Linked DNA regions of Saccharomyces cerevisiae S288C. The protein of the gene in region 2 binds, or shares a complex with, the protein of the main gene of each other region. Each region holds a gene or a part of one and is shown on either strand. Other genes may lie near its edges. The genes, in order: MYO2 and SMY1. A codon is read from its position in the direction of its gene.

Region 1 (13,987 bases), on a different chromosome or scaffold from region 2:
TCAACAAGGTTGCTGAACGTGGTGAAAGGCTAACATCCATTGAGGACAAAGCTGATAACTTGGCTATCTCCGCACAAGGATTCAAGAGAGGCGCCAACAGGGTCAGAAAGCAAATGTGGTGGAAAGATCTAAAAATGAGAATGTGTTTATTCTTAGTTGTTATTATTTTACTAGTGGTAATTATCGTTCCTATCGTCGTCCATTTCAGCTAACGCTCATCGGTTCCCGATGCTAATTCTAAAAAATATATACAGTAGTCATAATAGTAATAATAATATAATCATAATTTATAAATTCAGTAAGAAGCAAAATGTAGTTTAATATAGTGTACACTAATACGGCGCGCGGTTAATATCTTCCATAATATCGATTTCATTATCATACTATTGACAAATACTTCTATTATTAATTAACTATGTAGTTTCATTTTTTTTTTTCTCTTTTTTTGTCATTTCTTTTTTTAGCATTCATGTACAATTTTGTTTCTCGCGCCATCAGTTTTAGTGGCCGTCTTGAACGACTTGTTGGGCAACAAGGTCAACTATTCTCTTAGTTGAGGGCAAGGATAACCACGCTGGTATATAGGCTTCTACTTGGTCAAATTTTCTTGTCTTTATCAAACTGAATGGGTCAGTAAATGGACCTGTTTCTGGAGTGATAAATATACTGCTGCTATGCTCGTGACCCTTAGAATCATTACCTGATGAAGATAACGCAGCTTCTTTCTTAACTATATCAGCAACGTATCTTAAGATTTCCTGTGGAATTGGAGACTCATAGTCTGCCACCTGGTATTGTGAAATCAATTTTTGCAATTGTGCAGGTGTTAGCGAATAACAAATTCCTCTTAAGATATCAATGTCTTCGATAGTATACTTACGGACTTGCAGTAGCTTAGCGGTCTGAATCAAATGTTGTAAGCACTCAGTACCATCTGTCAAGCCATGCGTCTTGCACCATTCCTCTAATCTAGTAACGTTGTAGTTCAATTGAAGACCCCTTTTCCACGACAAGAAATTACGTTTCATGATTAATTCGTTAAAACAAATTGCATCCACATAATTCAATAAGGTTGTGACTACAGCATGGAACACTTCATTCTCAATATGAAAAGATTTCATGCACCAGTATATGCTGTTGAAAAAGGTCAAAATGTCGTCCATTGTATATTCTTCAGTGTTAGCAAAAATTTTGTTCAAAAACCCGCTGGTTTCTCCCGCGCTGAAACCTGGTAATGATTCGGAGATGACCACAGCATTGATGGCCTTTTTTTGCAATTGCTTCTGCAATTTCTTCAGCCAAATGTTATATATATTATAACTTAGAGCTTCGAAATCATCCTTTAGTTCTGTGACCAATGAAACATACTCCTTATACTCCTCATCGGTCATGCCGTTTTTGAACGTTTCTTCGGTTAAAATAGAGTTTAGAGCAAACACCACAAATGAGTATAACTCTCTAACGTTTGCTAACCAGAATACACCGCTTGGAATTAAATCGTTACCCTTCAATTGAGTGACAACTTTTTGAATTGTAGTCAATACTTGGGCAAGAAAGCTTTCACTTTGCTTGGTCAGCCCAAATCTCCACATTTCACTTAAAACTATAATCAGTATTCTAGCCGGATAAACAACGTCTCTTTTACTTAGTTGAATAGCTACACCAGCATCCGGTACTTCGAATCCCTTTAACAGGCCTTCCGTGATTTCTTGATTCAAAATTTCAGTGTCCTCCAATAACCTGTATAACTCTTCATTGATTTGTGTAGCATTGACACCATTTTCGCGATCGACACTCAATGAATCAATGTGGTTGTTTCCGGACGATGGAGTAGATCTAGACTTTAGATTCAAATCATTAGGAGATAAGTCGGAATTCTCAAGCATCATATTGTTGAAATTTGAAGCACCGCCTCCCATTACATCCTTTAATGGTGTTTGAGGTAGTACACTAGTAGTAACGGTGCCCAGCGACATGGCAGTTTGTAACCTAGCAATTTCTTCCTTTAAAGATTTAACTTCGTTTTGCAAGTCTCCGTTTAATGTCTGGTATTCAACCAATGTTTTCTTTGTTTGCTCTAATTCTTCAAGTTGCTTTTTAGATTCTTCTTTCAATTCATCATGTTGTTTAACCATGTCCTCCAACTCTAATTGAGCGTCCTTTAGAGTTTGTTCAGTGGATTGCAAATTGTTCTCAATAGTTTTTTGTAATTCCATATCCTTAGATTTCTGATTATCAATATCTATTAAGTGCTCTTTTTTCATATTTTCTAATGTCTCTTGTAACTTGGCACTTTCTTCCACTTGAACCTGTAGTTCTTTAATTCTTTCTGTCATTTCTTTATTTTCTTTGACCTTGGATGCTAGATTCTGCGTCAGTTCAATCACTTTATTCTCTAATTTATAGCTCACTTCTTTCAGATGATTAACTGATTTAGCGTCTGCCTTCAATTGTTTCAATTTCCTTTGAGCAGCTCTTCTTCTGATCAAAGATTGGACAACAACAGTGTCTTTTTTAGTGCGTAAAAATCTCGATCTCGGCTCAAAGGTCCTAACTTTACTTTGAATAGTTACCGCAGCATTATATTCATGTTCTTGTTTCAGTTGTCTTTGTTTTAGTTCCTTTCTAATTTTCTTTTGCAAATTTGTAATTGTTCTCAATACGCTGAACACATTGGCACGGATGGAATGACCCCTGTAAGCGGCCTGTAATAAAGTTGCACAGTTAACTTTCATTTCATCATTAACGCGTTGACGAATGATGAAACCTTTGATGTTGTTCTGCAAATACTTGATGGCCTGAGATATTTGCAAATACTGCTTACGGTAATATTTAGCTCTAATTTTCTTCTGGATCATAACAATTGAATTATGCATCTTATTGCTTCTAAGTTTTTCCAGATATGCAAGCATACCTGCTTTGAAGAAAATTTTTGTATTACCAATCTGGTACTTGGATTTGTCCTTTACAGTAGCATCTAGGATCATTTTAACCACTGATATGATATCTTCTTCTGTAGTTTCCTTTTTTTTGAAGATTAGGTCCCACTGCTCATGTGGTATCAAGATGTAATATCTTAATACAAATTCTTCAAAAGTCCACCTAGAAGGAAACCCAGCACAAGATATTCTAATAGTTTCCAAAACACCACAGGCTCTGAGTTGAGACAACACCATCAAATTATCAAATTGCCAAGCTTCTTTATCTGCATTAGGCTTTATACAACGAATATAATGAACATTAGTTGAGTTGATGGTATTCATTAGTTCAATCAAAGATTGCTTAAACATGGAACCTAAAGTGGGTTTCCTGTTAACCGTTCTTATCGGACCTGGCTTTTTACTGCCAGCCTGCTCTAATTCAAGCTTTTTCGCTTCTTCCAGTTTTTTGGCAGCTTTTTCTAATCCCTCTAAGATATTTATTAGTGTCTCGTTGGTAGAAGCCTTCAACACTTCCAAATGTCCGTCAGATACGGTGTCTCTATTTTTTTCAATAAATCCTTCCACATCATAAGCGACATCTAGAGCATAATGGCTCACGATAAATTTAGTTTGCCCGAATCTTGGTTTAGAAAATACTTTGTTCGTAGGAGATTTATCCAAAGTTTGATAAAGTTTTTGGGTCCAAGATTCGTCGGAACCAGCAGGTAACCTACTTTCTTCGTCAAGCAGTGATAAAATACCCAACTTGTTTTCAATCAGATCAATACAAGGTTGATTATCATTAAACTCTATAAAAGACCATTCAATTTCTTCTTTAACGTATTCTTCTTGCTCTAATTTGAAAACATGTTGGTTGAACTCTTGTTGTAGTTTTTCGTTGGCATAGTTAATACAAAATTGTTCAAATGAATTTTTTTCAAAATGTTCAAACCCATAAATATCCAGAACACCAATAAATGAGCTAATTTGGTCGTTCACAGCCGGGTTGCATAACACGGTGTTGATATTTTCCACAAGCCAATCGAAAAGGGCGGAATAAATAAACTTAGCCACGGAATCTTTGGCAACCAGAGCTTGACTATAATTTAGATTCGAAACAATTTTCTCTGACCTTGTAATGATCTGCTTTTTGGTGACCCATTTGGCAAAGTTGTAGGCATCAATTCCCAGCAATTCGCACGCCAGTTTCAGGTTTGGCTCATCAGCTGATAGTGATGCATCATTTCTAGTTTTTTTAATTTCTATGTTACCGATATGCAGAAGTGCGGCCAAGATCTTAAATATTTGGTGTTGAGTTTCCTTGGTGATTCCGACTAATGTCAATGCATCTACTGTAATTTTGTATTCTTTGGCATCATCAATACCGTTGATCTTGGTGTCACCGCCTTGGTTCATGTAGAAGTAATCTGAGGCATCGGTAAGATGCAATTCCTCCTTGGTTTGAGCTGGTAATCCAGCCATTAATTGATAAAATATGTGGTAGTTTCTCTCAATTGGCGGCTGGTAAACTAATCTGGACCGTTCCAACAAGTATGTGCGGATCCTTGCTCCAATAATAGATGTGTCCTTATCGAATAAAATTTCTAGATACTTACCAAATCTGGAAGAATTGTCATTTCTGGTAGTCTTAGCATTACCAAATGCTTCCATGATAGGGTTTGTAGCTAGAATCTTTTGTTCTGTTTCCGACATTTCCACTTGATGTTGTACAGTAGCGGAATTTTCCTCTTCTACAGAAGCAAAATAACGCATAATATACTTGGCAGAAACCGTTTTTCCAGCACCAGATTCACCACTTACCACAATGGTTTGATTTTGTTTGTCATTTTTCATCAACCTATACGCTTCTTCGGCAATGGCAAACAAGTGAGGTTCCAGTTCACCTCTGCGCTTTCCCGCATATGCTTGGATCATGTCTTGTGTATAAAGCTGGTCGACACGATCAAAAGGGTTTGTAGCAATCAGAACAATACCCGAGTATGTGTAGATATTCAATTGAGAATAGCGCTGTTTGATGGCATGTAAAACAGCTGGCTCATTCAAGTAAGATAAAGAGGTCAAATCTTCCGTTGCTTCCAAAATGGGAGGGTTTCTAAGAAGCGGTAGAGATTGGTCCTTATCGTTATTCAAGTCTTTTGTGTCCACGGACACGATTTCATCGTCTTCCAATTGTAACTCCAGGTGGTACTTGCCGTCGTTGAACTCATTTTTGATTACTTCCGCCCCAATCCAGCCCAATTCTTTATGGGGATACCAGCATCGTGTACCCACTTCAAAAGACATTATACGCTGTAATATCTGCTGTTTTTATGTCCTATATGTACAATGGTATAAGTATCGCTGTCCAATGGAATGGTGTCGAATAGTACCTTAGAAAACAAAAAACAAGCAAGCAGCCAGAAATCGAACGAATAATTTCAAGCGAGAAAAGTGAAATGACTTTGCGAGACTTTTTTGTTCTCTGATTGGCCTTGCAAAGTTGATAGATCTCTGAAACGCAGGCTACGAATCGTATCAAATGAAGGCGTGTTTGGGATTTCTGATATTTGGCTTTTCGAGAAGCGCGATCATAAACAAAAAAAAGGAAAAAATCACAAAATAGCCCTGGGTCGGGTAATAGTTTTTGCCCTACGTTTTCGTAAATGTGTCACTAGGTGCAATTGCCAATAATTAATTGTAACCTACTCAATATCTATTTTAGCCCTACATACGTTAGGGTCGAAAATCTGTTGGGGTTTTGGTTTTAACAGCGTAAACTAAACCAGATAAGCATCGAGAAACGGCGCTTGGCACATCGTATATCAACAAGACAAACCAGTGACCGGAGTTCTGAGGCGTCTTCGAGCCTATTTATTTATTGATCTGGGTCGGATAGTTCACCCTATTTGTGGAGGAAAAGACCTTCCCATATCTAAATTTTTTTTTTTTTTTGGTTTAAGTTATAGTTGATACATTAAGTGAAAATGAACTTGCTAATTGACCGGATGGAGAATCCCGGATCGAGGAACTGTACCCTGTTACCTCCTTCATTCCCAAGAGGCTTTTGTAAGGGAAGAAGGGCTTCCAGTGGCGACGCAGTGAAGATAAAAGAATCCGGTCTACAGCCGCAGCCGCAGCCGGAACCTCTACAAGCTAAAACAAATGTTGCACACTTTTCGAAATCATCTTCTAGATTACCTGTCATAGCAGTGAATGATAATCCGGTGGTCCCAAGACCAAGCACTGAAGTAAACTTGGGATCGTTGTTACAAAAGGAAAGGGAGAAAGAAAAGGAGGAACAGCCTGCGCTGCATGATAGGAGACATTTATATGTGACAAAGAATAGGGCACATGGGGTACGACAACGTTCATTGGAAATGACTAGCTTACCTGTCCTGGGATCGACCAAAACCGGGAAGTTTAGCGATTTTTTGTTTGAAGATGACATCGATAACAGAGTAGGTCGACACAGTAGATCATATAGTGGGGCATCCAGTTTGGATGATCCATTCAGAGTGTCGCCGAAAACCGACTTCAACTCTAATAGGGCCAGATTGTCTTGCCTTAGTAAAGGACGTCGTGGTTCGATGTCCGTTTTCCAAAGCTGTCATACTGGGCTAGCTTTCAATCAAATACAGGGTTCCTCCTCTTCGCAACGTAGATCATCCGCTGGTTCTTTTGATTATGAGAGGAAACGATTGGTTAACCAATTTTTACAGCCTTCTTTGGGAAATTCAGACCCATTTGATACGTTGAGGGAGTCGGTAGTGTTTGAGCCCTCATCCACCGCTGGCGGCATTAAATTAGGGAATATGCATTCTCAATCACAAATTTCCGTAAACTCCTCCCCCAGCACATCTTTGTTTTATCATGATTTGGACGGTTCTGCTGTCAACGATTCTTCGTCATTTCTGTATTCCCGTTCTAATGTACCAGCATTTTTGTCGTCATCAGCCTTTTCGTCCACGTCATCCACCTCATCAGATTCAGAAGATGTGGATAGAAGAAGTTTAAACGGTGTATATCCCTCTTTAGGATATTTGACTAACCAGAGGAAACCAAGGAATTCATCAGGCTCTTCCACTGCACCTGGCACCGATACCTTGGGATTTAAGTATTTACTGAATAGGCAGAAGTCAGCGGATTCTTCCACTAGGTTCAAGAGTGTACTGAAGGTGAACAATAATAATGGCTCCGCAGCCACTCCTGATTCTAGCTCAAACTCTATTTCGAAGAGCAACTCAAATTTGAATGATAACATTGATGAATTGAATTATTATCAAAATCATATTTCGACACTTCTAGTGAAGATCGAGAATGAGATGAGAAGAAATTTAAACGATACAATAATCAAGAATGAAAACAACGTTCAAAAAACTATCCAAAAGTATGATCTTCTATCAGGAGAGTTAACCCTTTTATTAGACGAAATGACCACCTTGCGAACCACGGTGATTAATCAATTCTTGGTCAAGTTGAAATCAGACTTTGACGAGGATGACAATAAGGCGTTTATTAATGAATTAAAGATATCAGTCGAAGAAAGTGTAGCGCAATTACAAGGATTGGAAAGGAGAATGGAGGTTTGCCAAGAGAGATTAAATAAACAAAAGTCCTCTCTAAGGGAAATGGATAGTTTGATAGAGCTGAAAAACGTGTTAAATAAATCGAAGAACAACACGAAATCCATCTACCTGTATAGGTATTTCATCATTGACATTATTGCATTTCTTTTGATGGGCGGCTTTATCGTTTACGTCAAGAATTTGTTAACTCGTTTTTTTACTCGTTAAAAAGTCAAAACAAGGTCACTTTACAAAAATGGTACGCGTACAAAGATAAAATCACCTCTGAACATAATAATATACATCTATATACATATATATATATATATATATCACACATCAATCAACGCGCATGGACATTTGAATCAATGGGGCAGGAAAGGCGATGCAGTGGCCAAATTTCTTTGTTCATTTGTGGCGTTGGGTCAATGAGTCAAAAAATGAAAAAAGTCGACAGACGTTTTTCAAAAAGCTTCAAGAAAAGAAGAGAAAAAGTAAAAGCGTATTGGTAAAAAGAGTAAGAACAAAAAGGAGCACAGGCAACCAATATAAAGATGTCCAGTTCACAACAAATAGCCAAAAATGCCCGTAAAGCAGGGAATATTTTGAAAACCATCTCAAACGAGGGCAGATCAGATATTTTATACAAAATTCACGATGCCCTGAAGGCTAATGCGCATGCCATTGAAGAAGCGAATAAAATCGATTTAGCTGTTGCCAAAGAGACTGGCCTAGCGGATTCTTTATTGAAACGTCTCGACCTATTTAAAGGGGACAAATTTGAAGTTATGTTACAAGGTATTAAGGATGTAGCCGAACTAGAAGACCCTGTTGGCAAGGTTAAAATGGCCAGGGAATTAGATGATGGCTTGACGTTGTACCAAGTAACCGCTCCAGTCGGCGTTTTGTTAGTTATCTTTGAATCCCGTCCAGAAGTTATTGCCAATATTACCGCATTGAGTATCAAGTCTGGTAATGCTGCAATTTTGAAGGGTGGTAAAGAGTCTGTGAACACGTTCAGAGAAATGGCAAAGATCGTTAACGACACCATTGCACAATTCCAAAGTGAGACTGGTGTTCCTGTGGGCTCTGTGCAATTGATCGAAACCAGACAGGATGTTTCCGACTTGTTGGATCAAGATGAGTACATCGACTTAGTTGTTCCTCGTGGTTCCAATGCCTTAGTCAGAAAAATCAAGGACACTACAAAAATTCCCGTGTTGGGTCATGCGGATGGTATCTGCTCAATTTACTTGGATGAAGACGCAGATTTGATTAAGGCAAAAAGAATTAGTTTGGATGCAAAGACTAACTACCCAGCTGGTTGCAACGCTATGGAAACGTTGTTGATTAACCCAAAATTCTCTAAGTGGTGGGAAGTTCTGGAAAACTTAACTTTGGAAGGCGGAGTGACTATCCACGCTACAAAAGATTTGAAAACTGCGTATTTTGATAAACTGAATGAGTTAGGGAAATTGACAGAAGCAATTCAATGCAAAACCGTTGATGCTGATGAGGAGCAAGATTTTGATAAGGAATTTTTATCCTTGGATTTGGCTGCCAAGTTTGTTACATCTACAGAATCGGCCATTCAACATATAAATACACACTCTTCGAGACATACCGACGCTATTGTAACGGAAAATAAAGCAAACGCTGAAAAATTTATGAAGGGTGTCGACTCCTCTGGTGTTTACTGGAATGCATCAACTAGATTTGCCGATGGTTTCAGGTACGGTTTTGGTGCTGAAGTGGGTATTTCTACCTCTAAGATTCACGCCCGTGGTCCAGTTGGCTTGGACGGTCTGGTGAGTTATCAATACCAAATAAGAGGTGACGGCCAGGTTGCTAGTGACTACCTTGGTGCTGGTGGTAACAAAGCTTTTGTTCACAAGGATTTAGATATAAAGACTGTGACATTATAAAAATTTTTAGGATAAAGCTAAGTTCCATGTATGAAGGACGTGTATACATAGTTCAGTAAAGCCATCAAATAAGTACTCTTGTCAACTCATTCTATGGTGTGATAGTTAATTGCTTACTTGTATCGCTATTAACGACTTTTTTTTTCTTTTGGCGGAAGCTTCAAGACAAAAATGCGATTTGAGCTGACTCGAACACTTATTAAACCAGACGGAAAAGCACGACTCATACATATCATAGGCAGTTTTTACTAGGGCTCCGAATACTTTGAATAATAAGGTTGATTAAGTTTGTGTGCTTCATCCAATTAGCTTTCAGTTTTCCTTATTTAAGCTTCTGATTTCGGAATCAAAAGTTGAGCAACGTTATAGCTTGCTTTTTCGGAGGAGAACGCTGTTGTTCACATTTCAACACCAGAAATTGCTGATTTTTACTCCTACTTAGTATACATTTCACTAAACAATACGTTTTACCATGGCATTTTCACGTCTTACATCTACTCATCAGTCCAATCATAACGGCTACAGTAATAGCAACAAAAAAGGACAAAGTCTTCCACTAACCCTTTCTATTGATGTAGAATCACCGCCATGTGTTCTTTATGGGTCTGCTATGGAATCCTCAGGTGCTGTGCTAAGTGGACTTTTTACTGTGACGGTTGTCGATCCCTACAGTAGTGCTGAAGATAAATCTTTAAAGAATACAGAATCTAATGTGTCGACTACTTCTAAAAGCCTAAAAAGAAAGAGTACATTTGGTTCTGCACTTTCATCTAGATTGTCCAGCTTGTCAGCGTCGACGTCAAATATCTCTCCTTCAACATCTTCTACATCCATATCGCATTCTCCCACGCCTGCTAATTTAAGAATAATGGCTGGTTATACCAAGATCACCATTACGTCGGTAACACTAAGTTTGGTACAGAAGATCCATTTCCATAAACCCTTTGTGCCTAATATTTCCTCAATGCAAACCTGTATGAACTGTAAAACAAAGATTACAAACATGAAAAGCTGGGAAATTCAGAGTAATACCCAGGATCTTTCTGTTGGAAGCCACTCTTACCCATTTTCCTATCTTATACCGGGGTCTGTCCCATGTTCTTCATCGCTAGGTGCTACGGCTGAAACCCAGGTCAAATACGAACTTATCGCTGTTGTGACGTATATAGATCCTCATAGAAATTCCTTTTCTTCCGGTCATTCTACTCCCAGGAAAGAAGGAAGCTCTTCTAAGAAGCGGTTGTTGCAACTAGCGATGCCCATCGCCGTGACTCGAAGTATACCGCGCGGGCCTGATAAGAATTCTCTAAGAGTATTTCCTCCTACAGAGTTAACTGCTGCTGCTGTTCTTCCTAATGTTGTATATCCTAAATCTACTTTTCCTTTGGAGATGAAATTAGACGGTGTTTCTTCGGGGGATAGGAGATGGCGAATGCGTAAATTGAGTTGGAGAATTGAAGAAACTACAAGAGTTAAAGCACATGCTTGTCCAGTGCACAAGCATGAATTGAGGCAGTTAGAAGAGCAGGTTAAAATAAAAGAGTCAGAAAAAAGTAAAAAGCCACGCAGTCATATTAAGCGTTATGGTGAACTAGGCCCACAAATCCGGGTTGCAGTAAACTCTTTAGAAAATATGCCGTCGCAAAGGCTTCCAGGCGAGCCCGGTCGTGAACAAGCACCTAATTCTTCGGGTCCAGCGTCAACTGGTAATGTTGGACTTGATGATGAAAATCCTGTTAATGAAGATGAGGAAGACCAACCCGGTAGCGAATTCATCCATCCCAGTGACGACGCTTTGCGTCAGGAGTTACTAATGCAGCAACAACGCGCAAGACAACAACAACTTCAACAAGAGCTAAAAAACAACAGTAGTTTATTTACGGAAGAGGTTCGGATAATATCTAAGGGAGAAATGAAGAGTGGATGGAAAACCGATTTTGACAATAATGGAAAGATTGAGCTAGTTACAGAAATAGATTGTATGGGACTTAATTCAGGCGTCTCTAATCCGGTAATGCATGCATCGACACTACAAACTCCTTCCACGGGCAATAAGAAGCCCAGCATCAATGTGGCTTGCGATATACAGGATCCAAATTTAGGTTTGTATGTAAGCCACATCTTGGCAGTGGAAATAGTTGTTGCAGAAGAAACATTGCAATATGCCAATGGGCAACCTATACGGAAACCAAACTCCAAAAACAAGAAAGAAACTAATAACAATACGATGAATGTTCATAATCCTGATCAACGCTTAGCTGAATTATCTCCAATTTTTGCAAATAGAAATACACCGAAAGTACGGCGCATGGGGCCTGAAGATATAACACCGGTGAATAGTAATAAGTCCAACCATAGTACTAATAAGGAGAAGGCATCTAACGGTGCTAGTAACTCTAATATAGTGAGTGTTCCCACTGGTGCAGCACGTGTTTTAAGAATGCAATTCAGATTAACAGTCACTGAAAGATCTGGACTTGGAATCTCCTGGGACGAAGAAGTTCCTCCCATTTACCAAGATGTCGAGTTGCTCTCGCCACCATGTTACGAGCTCTCTATAAATAATGGAATCAAAAATAAACTTTATTCAACAATGAGTACTCCTGTTAGATCAGAGGATGATTTTGTGGGCGGCAGCGATGAAGATATTGGGAACTATGAGAGCCAAGGGCTCGAACCTGGTCCTAACGTACAGGAAGTAACGATCACACAAAATAAATTAACGATACCACCAACCGCACATCACTACCAGCCTGCTTCCTCTTCGCAAAGATCCCTTACCACAGTACAGTCACCACCACTGGAAAGTGTTGTTAGTGTCCAGGGTAGTGTACCTTTTCGTGGACATGTGTTGACACCACATAGCACAAGAGATATCAGAATACAAAACTTTTCCGATTTTCTAGATTCCAATAGAATAACCCAGTAGATTTTATAATATTCGTTAAAGGTATTTACCATATATTTTTATCTTAGATACCTGAAAACTACAAATCTGATCAATAAGCAAACCCTGACCATGATTTGATGCATTTCACAGATAACTACATACAGGCATTGTTTAACACTTGAGCATTTTTTTTCTCGTATTTTCTTAAGGCTGGACTGGATTAATATCTTCATTTCGTCGTAGGTACATAGCTTTGTTATGATAAAGAAGAAGGCATAAGTCGAAAAAGATATTTCGCGCATCAATTAACATTTTTTGTGTGGTGAAGAAAAGTTTTTGATCATTCTATATATCTATGTGTTACGTATATCTTCAACAATCTGCCACGTAGGTAGCCATGCCAAGTACGCGTAATCATCTACTGGACCATCCATCCCAAAACTAAAAGGAGAGAAATAAAAAAATCCAGCGATCACGATTGATCCGTATACAATATAAGCTCCTAGCCTTAGAAATTTTCCAGTGTTTCTTGTAGCCCAACGTTTGGTAATCATATCGAAGTAGTATGACAAGATCATTAAGGCAAAATAAAGGGTGGGCAGATAGTGGTGAGCGTATACAACTCTTGACATCACTACGAATGGCATATAATGTAAAAGCCAAGCAAGCAATGGATAAAAGGCTGCCATAACGAACACGTCACGTTCGACTGGATCGGATAGGATAACACATTGTCTCTGCCATTTCAGAGTTAAGAATATAACGTGTATTATCAGTGCGCAAACTGCGATGCTTGAGGGCCAGACGGACGCAGGAGATCCTAATAAGAAGTACTTTATAGATTTTTCACTCCATTCGCATAATCTTACCCCGACGTTCAAGGTTGGCCATTGCCAGGCAGATGAAGCTATACCATCAAACTTTTCAGGGTTTGGTACCAAAGCATTATTGGTTGCCATCATTGCTGAATTTAACTGCATGAAATTCCTGAAGAATGAAGTCTTCGGATATACGAAATCTTCTCCCTGTGGCAATCTTTCATTTTCATGTGTTTCGATATTCCACCAGGTTCTCTTATCCCTTTTGGAGGCGTGTTTTAAACAGACAACTTCACCTTGCCTGAAACCCCATTCTGGTAAATGTTTACCTGACTGAGCTAAATAGCAACCCAGTATAGAATTTTTAATACGGAAAGATGTGGATAGCGGGTGTAGTAGTGTTGGATCTTCTTCCCCTACTTGTTCCACGATTTCTATAATCCAGTTATCTTTGTAGTCACCTAAGTCTACATCTCCGTAAGCAGAAACTTCATATTCACTTTTCGATATAGGCGCTGGGACTTCATGGGTGTGTAGATTCTTGCCTGTTAGGCGATGCATTAATCTATACATTTCGCCACCCTTTACAAACTCAATTGTCTTGTTCTCAGCATCAGTCCAAGGCTCTACTCCTCTGATTCTTTGAAAAAACCATTCATTGTTAGCATCACTGTAACCATAGACAGTTACTTGCTGTTGCTCAGAACCTTCTGGGAATGGTTGGACATGAGAATGTAATAAAGCGCCTCCCAACGCTTGATTTTTGATGGAAATAATAGAAGAACCCAAAGCAACATCACGTGGTCCCTTACCAACTTTTGTACCGTTCAGACTGGCTTGAAATAATGATGGCATGGTAGAGTCGCCG
Region 2 (9,890 bases):
AAATGGCTACTGCGTTATATACTGCAAACGATTTCATATTAATCTCGTTGCCTCAAAATGCTCAACCTGTTACCGCCCCTGGCTCCAAAACTGATTCATGGTTCAATGAGACCTTAATCGGGGGTAGGGCATTTGTTTCTGATTTCAAAATTCCCGAATTCAAAATTGGCTCTTTAGACACATTGATAGTTGAATCGGAAGAACTGTCTAAAGTAGATAACCAAATTGGGGCTTCTATTGGCAAAATCATTGAAATTCTTCAAGGCCTCAACGAGACCAGCACCAATGCTTACAGGACTTTACCTATCAATAATATGCCAGTTCCTGAATACTTGGAAAATTTTCAATGGCAAACCAGAAAGTTCAAGTTAGATAAGTCTATCAAAGATTTGATAACATTGATTTCTAATGAATCTTCTCAATTAGACGCCGACGTCAGAGCTACTTATGCAAATTACAACAGCGCTAAAACTAACTTGGCTGCTGCTGAGAGAAAGAAGACGGGTGACCTTTCTGTCAGATCCTTGCATGATATTGTCAAGCCCGAAGACTTCGTTCTTAATTCTGAACATTTAACTACTGTTCTAGTAGCAGTTCCCAAAAGTTTAAAATCCGATTTCGAAAAATCGTACGAAACTTTATCCAAGAACGTTGTACCAGCATCTGCCAGCGTGATTGCAGAGGATGCTGAGTATGTTTTGTTCAATGTTCATTTGTTCAAGAAAAACGTTCAAGAATTCACAACAGCTGCTAGAGAGAAGAAATTCATTCCTCGTGAATTTAACTACTCGGAGGAATTAATTGACCAGTTGAAAAAAGAGCATGACTCTGCTGCCAGTTTAGAACAATCTTTGCGCGTCCAGTTGGTAAGATTGGCCAAGACAGCTTATGTCGATGTTTTTATAAATTGGTTCCACATCAAGGCCTTGAGAGTTTACGTGGAATCTGTTTTGCGTTACGGGTTGCCACCTCACTTTAACATCAAGATTATAGCTGTCCCACCAAAGAATCTCTCTAAATGCAAGTCTGAATTAATTGATGCTTTTGGATTTCTTGGTGGCAATGCCTTCATGAAGGATAAAAAAGGGAAAATTAACAAGCAAGATACTTCTCTTCACCAATATGCTTCTCTTGTCGACACAGAGTATGAACCATTTGTGATGTATATAATCAATTTATAATCGATTTATAATACTAACTTAGATTAATATATATTTCTGTTTTTTTTTTAGAATTTTCAACTTTTTTATTCATAGAGATAATACACTGTGATTGTGAATGTTTGAATAGTAATGGAACATAATCCGATAAAATATGCTTTTGATGAACGATTAGACATTTTTCAATTTTGTCGTTGAGTTCCAATCCTTCCTTATTTATGGTTAACAAGGAAAGAGGTGGAAGTTAAAAAAATGGAAATTAAAAAAAAAAAAAAATCAAAAAAAGAAAAATAAAAATAGAAAAATTGGCACGGAAATCTACAGGATTTAGCACTAGTAGGGGGTTTATTAAGCACTACAGGTCGACTTTAAACCAGAAAAAATTATCATTCAGGGTAGGTGCAAACTTGTTAAAATGCACTGGAATATAATTTCGAAAGAGCAAAGTAGCTCTTCTGTATCGTTACCAACTCTAGACAGCAGTGAACCCTGTCACATCGAAGTTATCCTCAGGGCGATACCCGAAAAAGGATTACAAAACAATGAGTCGACCTTCAAAATAGACCCATATGAAAATACTGTGCTATTTCGCACAAACAATCCGTTACATGAGACAACCAAGGAGACCCATTCAACATTTCAATTCGATAAGGTATTCGATGCTAACGCCACTCAAGAAGATGTTCAGAAATTTCTGGTGCATCCAATAATAAATGATGTTTTGAATGGTTATAACGGTACTGTAATAACATATGGACCAAGTTTCAGCGGAAAGTCCTATTCCCTTATTGGATCAAAAGAAAGCGAAGGAATTCTACCGAACATATGCAAGACCTTGTTTGATACGCTAGAAAAAAATGAAGAAACAAAGGGAGATAGTTTTAGCGTAAGTGTTTTGGCATTCGAAATATATATGGAGAAAACGTATGACTTATTGGTACCTTTACCTGAAAGAAAACCATTAAAGCTTCACCGTTCTTCAAGCAAAATGGACTTAGAAATCAAAGATATTTGTCCGGCACATGTCGGATCGTATGAAGACTTAAGAAGCTACATTCAGGCAGTCCAAAACGTCGGCAATAGGATGGCATGTGGCGACAAGACAGAGAGATCAAGATCACACCTAGTTTTTCAATTACACGTAGAACAAAGGAATAGAAAAGATGATATATTAAAAAATAGTTCTTTATATCTGGTTGATTTACACGGGGCAGAGAAGTTCGATAAAAGAACTGAAAGTACGCTATCACAAGATGCGTTAAAAAAATTAAACCAATCTATTGAGGCGTTGAAAAACACTGTGCGGTCCTTGTCAATGAAAGAGCGTGATTCAGCCTACAGCGCAAAAGGATCACATAGTTCTGCTTACCGTGAATCGCAATTAACTGAAGTGTTAAAAGATTCCCTTGGGGGAAATAGGAAAACAAAGGTGATATTGACATGTTTCTTAAGTAATGTTCCAACTACCCTATCAACACTAGAATTTGGTGACAGTATTAGACAGATCAATAACAAGGTTACAGATAACACCACAGGTTTAAATCTGAAAAAAAAAATGGATCTATTTATTCAGGACATGAAAATTAAGGATGATAATTATGTTGCCCAAATTAATATACTAAAGGCTGAAATAGACTCTTTAAAAAGCCTTCACAATAAATCTCTTCCCGAAGACGACGAGAAAAAAATGTTAGAAAATACAAAGAAAGAAAATATCAAACTAAAGCTTCAATTAGACAGTATTACCCAATTATTGAGTAGTTCTACCAATGAAGATCCTAACAATCGTATTGACGAAGAAGTTTCTGAAATATTAACGAAAAGATGCGAACAGATTGCTCAGCTTGAGTTATCTTTTGATCGACAGATGAATTCCAATTCTAAGTTGCAGCAAGAGTTAGAATACAAAAAGTCAAAAGAGGAAGCCTTAGAGTCTATGAACGTTAGGCTACTAGAACAAATTCAGCTTCAGGAAAGAGAGATTCAAGAGCTTTTAACTACTAACGCCATCTTAAAGGGTGAACTAGAAACTCACACTAAACTTACTGAAACACGCAGTGAAAGGATAAAATCTTTGGAAAGTTCTGTCAAAGAGCTTTCTCTTAATAAATCTGCAATCCCATCTCCTAGAAGAGGGTCTATGAGCTCGTCATCAGGAAATACTATGTTGCATATCGAGGAGGGTTCTGAAATATCAAATAGCCCTTGGTCAGCCAATACTTCCTCAAAACCTTTAGTATGGGGCGCGAGAAAGGTTTCTTCTAGCAGTATAGCAACCACTGGATCACAGGAGTCTTTTGTGGCAAGACCGTTCAAGAAGGGATTAAACCTCCATTCGATAAAAGTCACTTCGAGTACTCCAAAAAGTCCCTCTTCTGGAAGCTGACTATAATTAAGTTCGATAATTGTACGATACAACTGTGTAGTATCTTTGTAATTATAATCATGATGATAACGCTAATAATTTGTACGTATAATGCTGACTGAAAGATGTACTTTTCTTCTACCGTTTTTCTTCGGCGGCTATTCGTTTACAATGATTTGGAAAAATGAGAAAAATTGAAAATAAAAAATTCTGCTCGATGAGATGAGATGAGGTTATGATATATATGTAAGAATTCCTCAAGAAGAGGTTGCAAGAGTCTGCAGACATTATCATGGCAGCAAATAGCAATAGTAGAGTTGCATCAAACCATACTTCTAAAAAACAAAAGGTTAGGAGGAATATACATCCATTCACGAATAACACTCGGATTAAAAGAGCTAGTAAAATCGTAAAGTTTAATGATTCAGGCGAGGGCGACCATGTTTCAGACCAACGTTCGAACAAGGAAAATGTCCTTACTTATAAATCTTTGAAAAGTCGGGCAAGCGATTTACTCAAAATGAGAGAAACACTTCCCGTTTACCAACACAAGCGAGAAATAATGTCATATATTGAAAGCAATCCCGTTACCGTCCTTATTGGTGAAACAGGTTCTGGTAAATCAACACAAATTCCGCAATTCGTATTAGAAAAATTATATGATACGAAGAAGCATGGGTCGATTGCTGTAACTCAACCCCGTCGTGTTGCGGCCATCAATTTGGCTACACGTGTTGCTCAAGAACATGGTTGCAAACTGGGTGAACAAGTAGGTTATTCTGTCAGATTTGACAATACGACTACTACAAGAACAAGACTTAAGTATCTGACTGACGGTATGTTACTTAGAGAACTTATGATGAATAGTGACCTTAGAGAATACAGCGTCATCGTTATCGATGAAGCGCATGAAAGAACTGTGCTTACAGATTTGATATTGGGGTTCTTAAAATCCTTGATACAAGGGCCAAGACCTGATTTGAGAATAATTGTTATGTCTGCAACATTGCAAGCCGAAAAATTTAGTGAGTTCTTCAATAATGCCCCAATCTTATTTGTAGAAGGAAGAAAATTTGATGTCAAACAATACTACTTGAAGGCGCCAACAGATGATATAGTAGACGCTGTCATCAGGTGTTGTATACAAATAAACCAAGGTGAAGAACTGGGAGATATCTTATGTTTTTTACCGGGCCAAGAAGAGATTGACAAAGCAGTGACTATAATGGAGAAAATTGCAAAGTATGTTTCAGATGAGGCCCCAGTACCATTAATAGTTCCTTATCCTTTATATGCAGCTCTTCCCGCGGTCCAACAGTCCTTGGTCTTCGCTCCGATAAAGGGTTTCAAGAGAAAAGTCGTCTTTAGTACCAATATTGCAGAAACATCTGTTACCATATCCGGTGTTAAATTTGTCGTTGATTCTGGTCTTCGAAAAGTCAAAGTTTGGAGACATCAGCTGGGATTAGCCACTCTACTTACCGTACCCATTTCTCAGGCAAGTGCGATGCAGAGAAGTGGTCGTGCTGGTAGAGAAAGTGAAGGAAAGAGTTTCAGGCTTTATTGTGAGTCTGATTATGTGAAATTACCTAAACAAAGTGAACCTGAAATAGCCAGAAGTGACGTCACATCTCCTGTGTTAATGTTGAAGAGATATGGTGTTGATGACCTGCTAAACTGGACCTGGTTTGAGAACCCTGGAAAGGAAGCTATAGTAATGGGGCTTCAGGAACTTTATGAATTGGGTGCTCTTGACACTCGTGGAAAGATAACTAAACGGGGTCAACAAATGGCTCTGTTACCGCTACAACCGCATTTAAGTAGTGTCTTAATTAAAGCCAGTGAAGTCGGATGTTTGAGTCAGGTCATTGATATCGTCTCTTGCCTTAGTGTGGAAAATTTACTGTTGAATCCGTCACCAGAAGAAAGAGATGAGGTGAACGAGCGTCGTTTGTCCTTATGCAACGCTGGTAAAAGGTATGGTGACCTTATCATGCTGAAAGAGCTTTTTGATATCTATTTCTACGAACTAGGGAAAAGTCAAGATGCAAGCTCTGAAAGAAATGATTGGTGTAAAGGATTGTGTATTTCGATACGTGGGTTTAAAAATGTAATTCGTGTCAGAGACCAGTTAAGAGTTTATTGTAAGCGTTTGTTTTCTTCAATCAGTGAAGAGGATGAAGAATCCAAAAAGATTGGTGAAGATGGCGAGCTAATTTCGAAAATTTTAAAGTGTTTCTTAACTGGGTTTATCAAGAATACAGCTATAGGGATGCCAGACAGGTCTTATAGAACTGTTTCCACTGGAGAGCCGATAAGCATTCATCCATCATCTATGCTATTTATGAATAAAAGCTGCCCCGGTATAATGTACACGGAGTATGTCTTTACTACGAAGGGATATGCCAGAAATGTTAGTAGGATTGAACTTTCATGGTTACAAGAAGTTGTCACTAATGCAGCCGCTGTAGCAAAGCAAAAAGTTTCTGATTCAAAATAAGTCACCTACTCTTAGCGCATTTTTATTGTATATAAAGGCATTTAATGTAATTTATAGAGCATTATAAATCGTAACAACTACTGCAGTATGAGTTTCATGGATTCATTTCTCAATATCTTATGAATATACACAGGTATATATGTATATTCATGTTAAACGCCTTTCGAATTGTTCGTTGGCTTTTTTTGTGAAATTATCTCGGGAAAAGGGCGAAATTATATTATTTTGCCGTTGACATTTTGAAAAGGAATAAAAGATCATGAAAAAAATAAGAAAGGCAATTCGACGCATTTCTCTCAGCAAGCTATTCTTTACTTTTGAAGAACAAAATATTTTAGCAAAAAGGTTAAGACAATATAGTCGGAAGCAGTTCTGCGGGATCTGAAGGAATTGCGGAATAATGAGATTTCACGATAGTATACTTATCTTCTTTTCTTTGGCATCGCTTTATCAACATGTTCATGGTGCAAGACAAGTCGTTCGTCCAAAGGAGAAAATGACTACTTCAGAAGAAGTTAAACCTTGGTTACGTACGGTTTATGGAAGTCAAAAAGAATTAGTCACTCCTACGGTCATTGCCGGTGTCACTTTTTCTGAAAAACCAGAAGAAACACCAAATCCATTGAAACCTTGGGTATCTTTAGAGCATGATGGTAGGCCAAAAACCATTAAACCAGAAATCAACAAAGGTCGAACCAAGAAGGGAAGACCTGATTACTCAACTTACTTCAAAACGGTAAGTTCCCACACATATTCTTATGAAGAATTGAAGGCTCACAATATGGGCCCTAATGAAGTTTTTGTAGAAGAAGAGTATATTGATGAAGATGACACCTACGTCTCCCTGAATCCTATTGTCAGATGTACTCCTAATCTTTACTTCAATAAAGGTCTAGCAAAGGATATCCGCAGTGAGCCATTTTGTACCCCTTATGAGAATTCTAGATGGAAGGTTGACAAGACTTACTTCGTTACTTGGTATACAAGATTTTTTACAGATGAGAATTCCGGTAAAGTTGCTGATAAGGTTCGTGTTCATTTGTCCTATGTTAAAGAAAACCCCGTAGAGAAGGGCAATTATAAAAGAGATATCCCTGCAACTTTTTTCTCTTCCGAATGGATTGATAATGACAACGGTCTAATGCCGGTTGAGGTCAGAGATGAATGGCTGCAGGACCAATTTGATCGTAGGATCGTTGTATCAGTTCAGCCAATATACATATCAGATGAAGATTTCGATCCACTACAATACGGTATTTTATTATACATCACTAAGGGTTCAAAAGTGTTTAAGCCTACTAAGGAGCAACTGGCTTTAGACGATGCAGGTATAACAAATGATCAGTGGTATTATGTTGCATTATCTATCCCTACTGTCGTGGTGGTATTTTTCGTCTTCATGTACTTTTTCTTATATGTCAACGGGAAAAACAGAGATTTCACAGATGTTACTAGAAAAGCTTTAAACAAGAAACGCCGTGTTTTGGGTAAGTTCTCGGAGATGAAGAAATTCAAAAACATGAAAAATCACAAGTACACCGAATTGCCATCTTATAAGAAAACCAGTAAACAAAATTAGATTCCCTTCGAAGTATGCATTCACCCTTCCTCGAGAGGGCTGTTTTTATCTTCCGTCACACTAATAGAAAACCACTCTATCCAGTTTTTTTTGTTACTTAACTTATCTTAACTCGATATTGTATAAATACTGAAGTCCATATACTTCTTTTTTTCTCCTTTGGATAGTAAATACGGTAAATTAAAATTAGTGTAAACTGAACAATATTAACATATATAAATCATCTGTACGACAATTTGATACCAAATAAATAGAGAATGCATCAGCATCCTCCAGGGTTCAAAAGAAAACGCTGGATCTTGCTTCTTTTCCTTTGATTTCTCCTTATATCCATTTCTGTCTTGCAGCAACTTCACATATTTTTTCCAGTGTAATGACCCTTGGATCAGGCTTAAAATGACGCTCAACCACATTATCATCTCCTTCCACATTCCTGCTAAGTAAGCTTTCTTCGTCGCCCTCGCTATTGTCCACATTATCTTCATCTTCATCATCATCTCCGCCGACGTCTTCAATGTAGTAGAAAAAGGGTTCCAACACCAACATAATTTTCCAGAAGTTGTTCGTGCCACAATTAGCAAACAAGACATCTACAAGGGCAGGTAGGTATTCCAATTCAATGTACTCCTCTGCGCAACAAACAAATTCATCTAATTCGTAATCTTGCTCATCAGCAGATAATGTAGAATACATTTCTGATAACAACGTTAATTCTTTGCTAATTGTTTTTGGAATATCTTCTCGAGCTTGCCATAACAGCTTTTGCGCTCTTTCCAGTCTTTCTTGGCTAACGGCATCATCCTTGCTCTCTTTTTCGCCTTTATCACCTTGGACATTTTCGGAGTCTTGTAGAGAAGGCAAGAATCCGTTCTTTTCGCTTTTGACCATAAGCTCATTGTATTCGTTATAGAGGGAGATAATTTTCATCATAGGCTTGTATAATTGCTGACAGACTTTCATTTCCGAGTAAGGTACAATGACTTTTTCCAAATAGTGATTGATCAGTCCTTCCATGAAGTTTGCCCAAATTGACGAAAATACATAATCCTCGTCGTAAGTCGATTCCGTAAAATCTTGGTTGATGTTATGCTGTATGATTTGCTCTGTAAGAGTTGGGAAAAGGTTTTTATGGCTTTTGACCATTTCATCTCTCAAAGCAGTAGATCCAGCGCTATCTGCTCCTTTAGTAGAATTTTCCAAACTATTATCTGTTGAAGACGCCTCTGAGTTCTTTTCACCATCTGTCTTATCTAGCCAGTATTCCGGACCACCCTTTTCAGACAATGTCACCAATAAAAGGAAGAGTTTTACTTTAACCCACGGGTTTAGCGAGTTTACATAGGCGTCCGTAATTTTGCTAACATCGATATTTATTTTTCTATGGATGCATTTGATAAATTTTTCAATGTAATGTGATTTTTTCAATCCGTATTTTTCATTCAGATATCCAACCGAAGTGATTACGTCGTAATTTGTATTTTCCATGTTCGTATGCTTCAAAAAGTTGAATGTTAACTTTCGTCTATTTCCATAATGTCTTTCTCTTTTCTCCTCACCTTTCTTCTTTCTTCTAATCTTTTTTTCTTTTGAAGCACCCAATTTAAGACATCTTTTACAGGTACAGTCCTTTAACGATGGCTCGTTGGCCGCTTGCTTGGGCAATAAATCTTTAGCCATCTTCTTTGGCGCGCTATACTAGGCTTGATTTATAATGTTAGTTATTCCAAAAATGTGAAGGAAATTGATCAAGGCAAGCTCTAATGATGATTATTGACCCATGCAACAAAAAAAGTTTGAATTCTCTTAATTTTCCAGATCGCAAGTTAGTAGTCAATCTGCTAACTTTCGTTATATTTCAAAAAAGTAATTGTACAAAAAAAGTCACCAAAAACGAGGACTTTTTTCACTGCGTTAAAGATTAGATCTACATAATGAATACTCAATTCTTTACTTAATTTCGCTCTACAAAATAGACCATTTAGGAAAGTTGGGTTGCTTCCATCATGTCAAAGTCGTCCTCATCTATATAAGTACACAGAACAGTGCGATCGTTGAATTGCGTACCCGGCAATTCTTCCATTGCGTGTTTTGCTGCCTCCAAGGTCTTGAACTTGATATAAATATTACCGGCTCCGGAAGCCAAGTTTTCAAAATTAAGTCTGTAATCGACGCCGGGTTGGCATATTTTAATCGTATCTGCTCCCGCGATACTATACTTTAATGTTTCTTTAATTTCTGTGATAAAGGTTTCATCTTTCAAATCCAATGGATCAAGACAATTTAAGA

What was found.
Region 1: the proteins of SMY1 (region 2) and MYO2 are in contact, whole or in part, in a crystal structure (PDB 6IXQ), measured with the Saccharomyces cerevisiae proteins. Residues at the interface, in NP_012844.1 of Saccharomyces cerevisiae: Phe633 (codon at 3,472), Lys634 (codon at 3,475), Lys635 (codon at 3,478), Gly636 (codon at 3,481), Leu637 (codon at 3,484), Asn638 (codon at 3,487), Leu639 (codon at 3,490), His640 (codon at 3,493), Ser641 (codon at 3,496), Ile642 (codon at 3,499), Lys643 (codon at 3,502), Val644 (codon at 3,505), Thr645 (codon at 3,508); in NP_014971.1 of Saccharomyces cerevisiae: Ile1207 (codon at 1,607), Ser1210 (codon at 1,598), Glu1211 (codon at 1,595), Trp1213 (codon at 1,589), Arg1214 (codon at 1,586), Phe1261 (codon at 1,445), Phe1264 (codon at 1,436), Ala1265 (codon at 1,433), Ser1268 (codon at 1,424), Ile1269 (codon at 1,421), Phe1275 (codon at 1,403), Gly1278 (codon at 1,394), Met1279 (codon at 1,391), Thr1280 (codon at 1,388), Glu1283 (codon at 1,379), Tyr1287 (codon at 1,367), Phe1542 (codon at 602), Gln1544 (codon at 596), Val1545 (codon at 593), Glu1546 (codon at 590), Ala1547 (codon at 587), Val1565 (codon at 533), Ala1566 (codon at 530), Val1569 (codon at 521), Val1570 (codon at 518).

The regions. Positions count from the first base shown.
Region 1 is NC_001147.6:916,959-930,945, reverse strand, and holds MYO2 (myosin 2), read right to left. Parts: upstream 5,226-13,987; coding exon 501-5,225; downstream 1-500. Other genes in the region: SNAP receptor SNC2, read left to right, coding at 1-212; FRT1 (Frt1p), read left to right, coding at 5,906-7,714; PRO2 (glutamate-5-semialdehyde dehydrogenase), read left to right, coding at 8,041-9,411; LDB19 (Ldb19p), read left to right, coding at 9,884-12,340; dolichyl-phosphate-mannose-protein mannosyltransferase PMT3, read right to left, coding at 12,655-13,987. UniProt on the Saccharomyces cerevisiae protein: Myosin heavy chain that is required for the cell cycle-regulated transport of various organelles and proteins for their segregation.
Region 2 is NC_001143.9:285,028-294,917, forward strand, and holds SMY1 (Smy1p), read left to right. Parts: upstream 1-1,575; coding exon 1,576-3,546; downstream 3,547-9,890. Other genes in the region: VMA5 (H(+)-transporting V1 sector ATPase subunit C), read left to right, coding at 3-1,181; DHR2 (RNA helicase), read left to right, coding at 3,818-6,025; PSG1 (Psg1p), read left to right, coding at 6,426-7,604; AAN1 (Aan1p), read right to left, coding at 7,929-9,281; MUD2 (Mud2p), read right to left, coding at 9,583-9,890. UniProt on the Saccharomyces cerevisiae protein: Possible microtubule-based motor that can interact or substitute with myosin 2 (MYO2).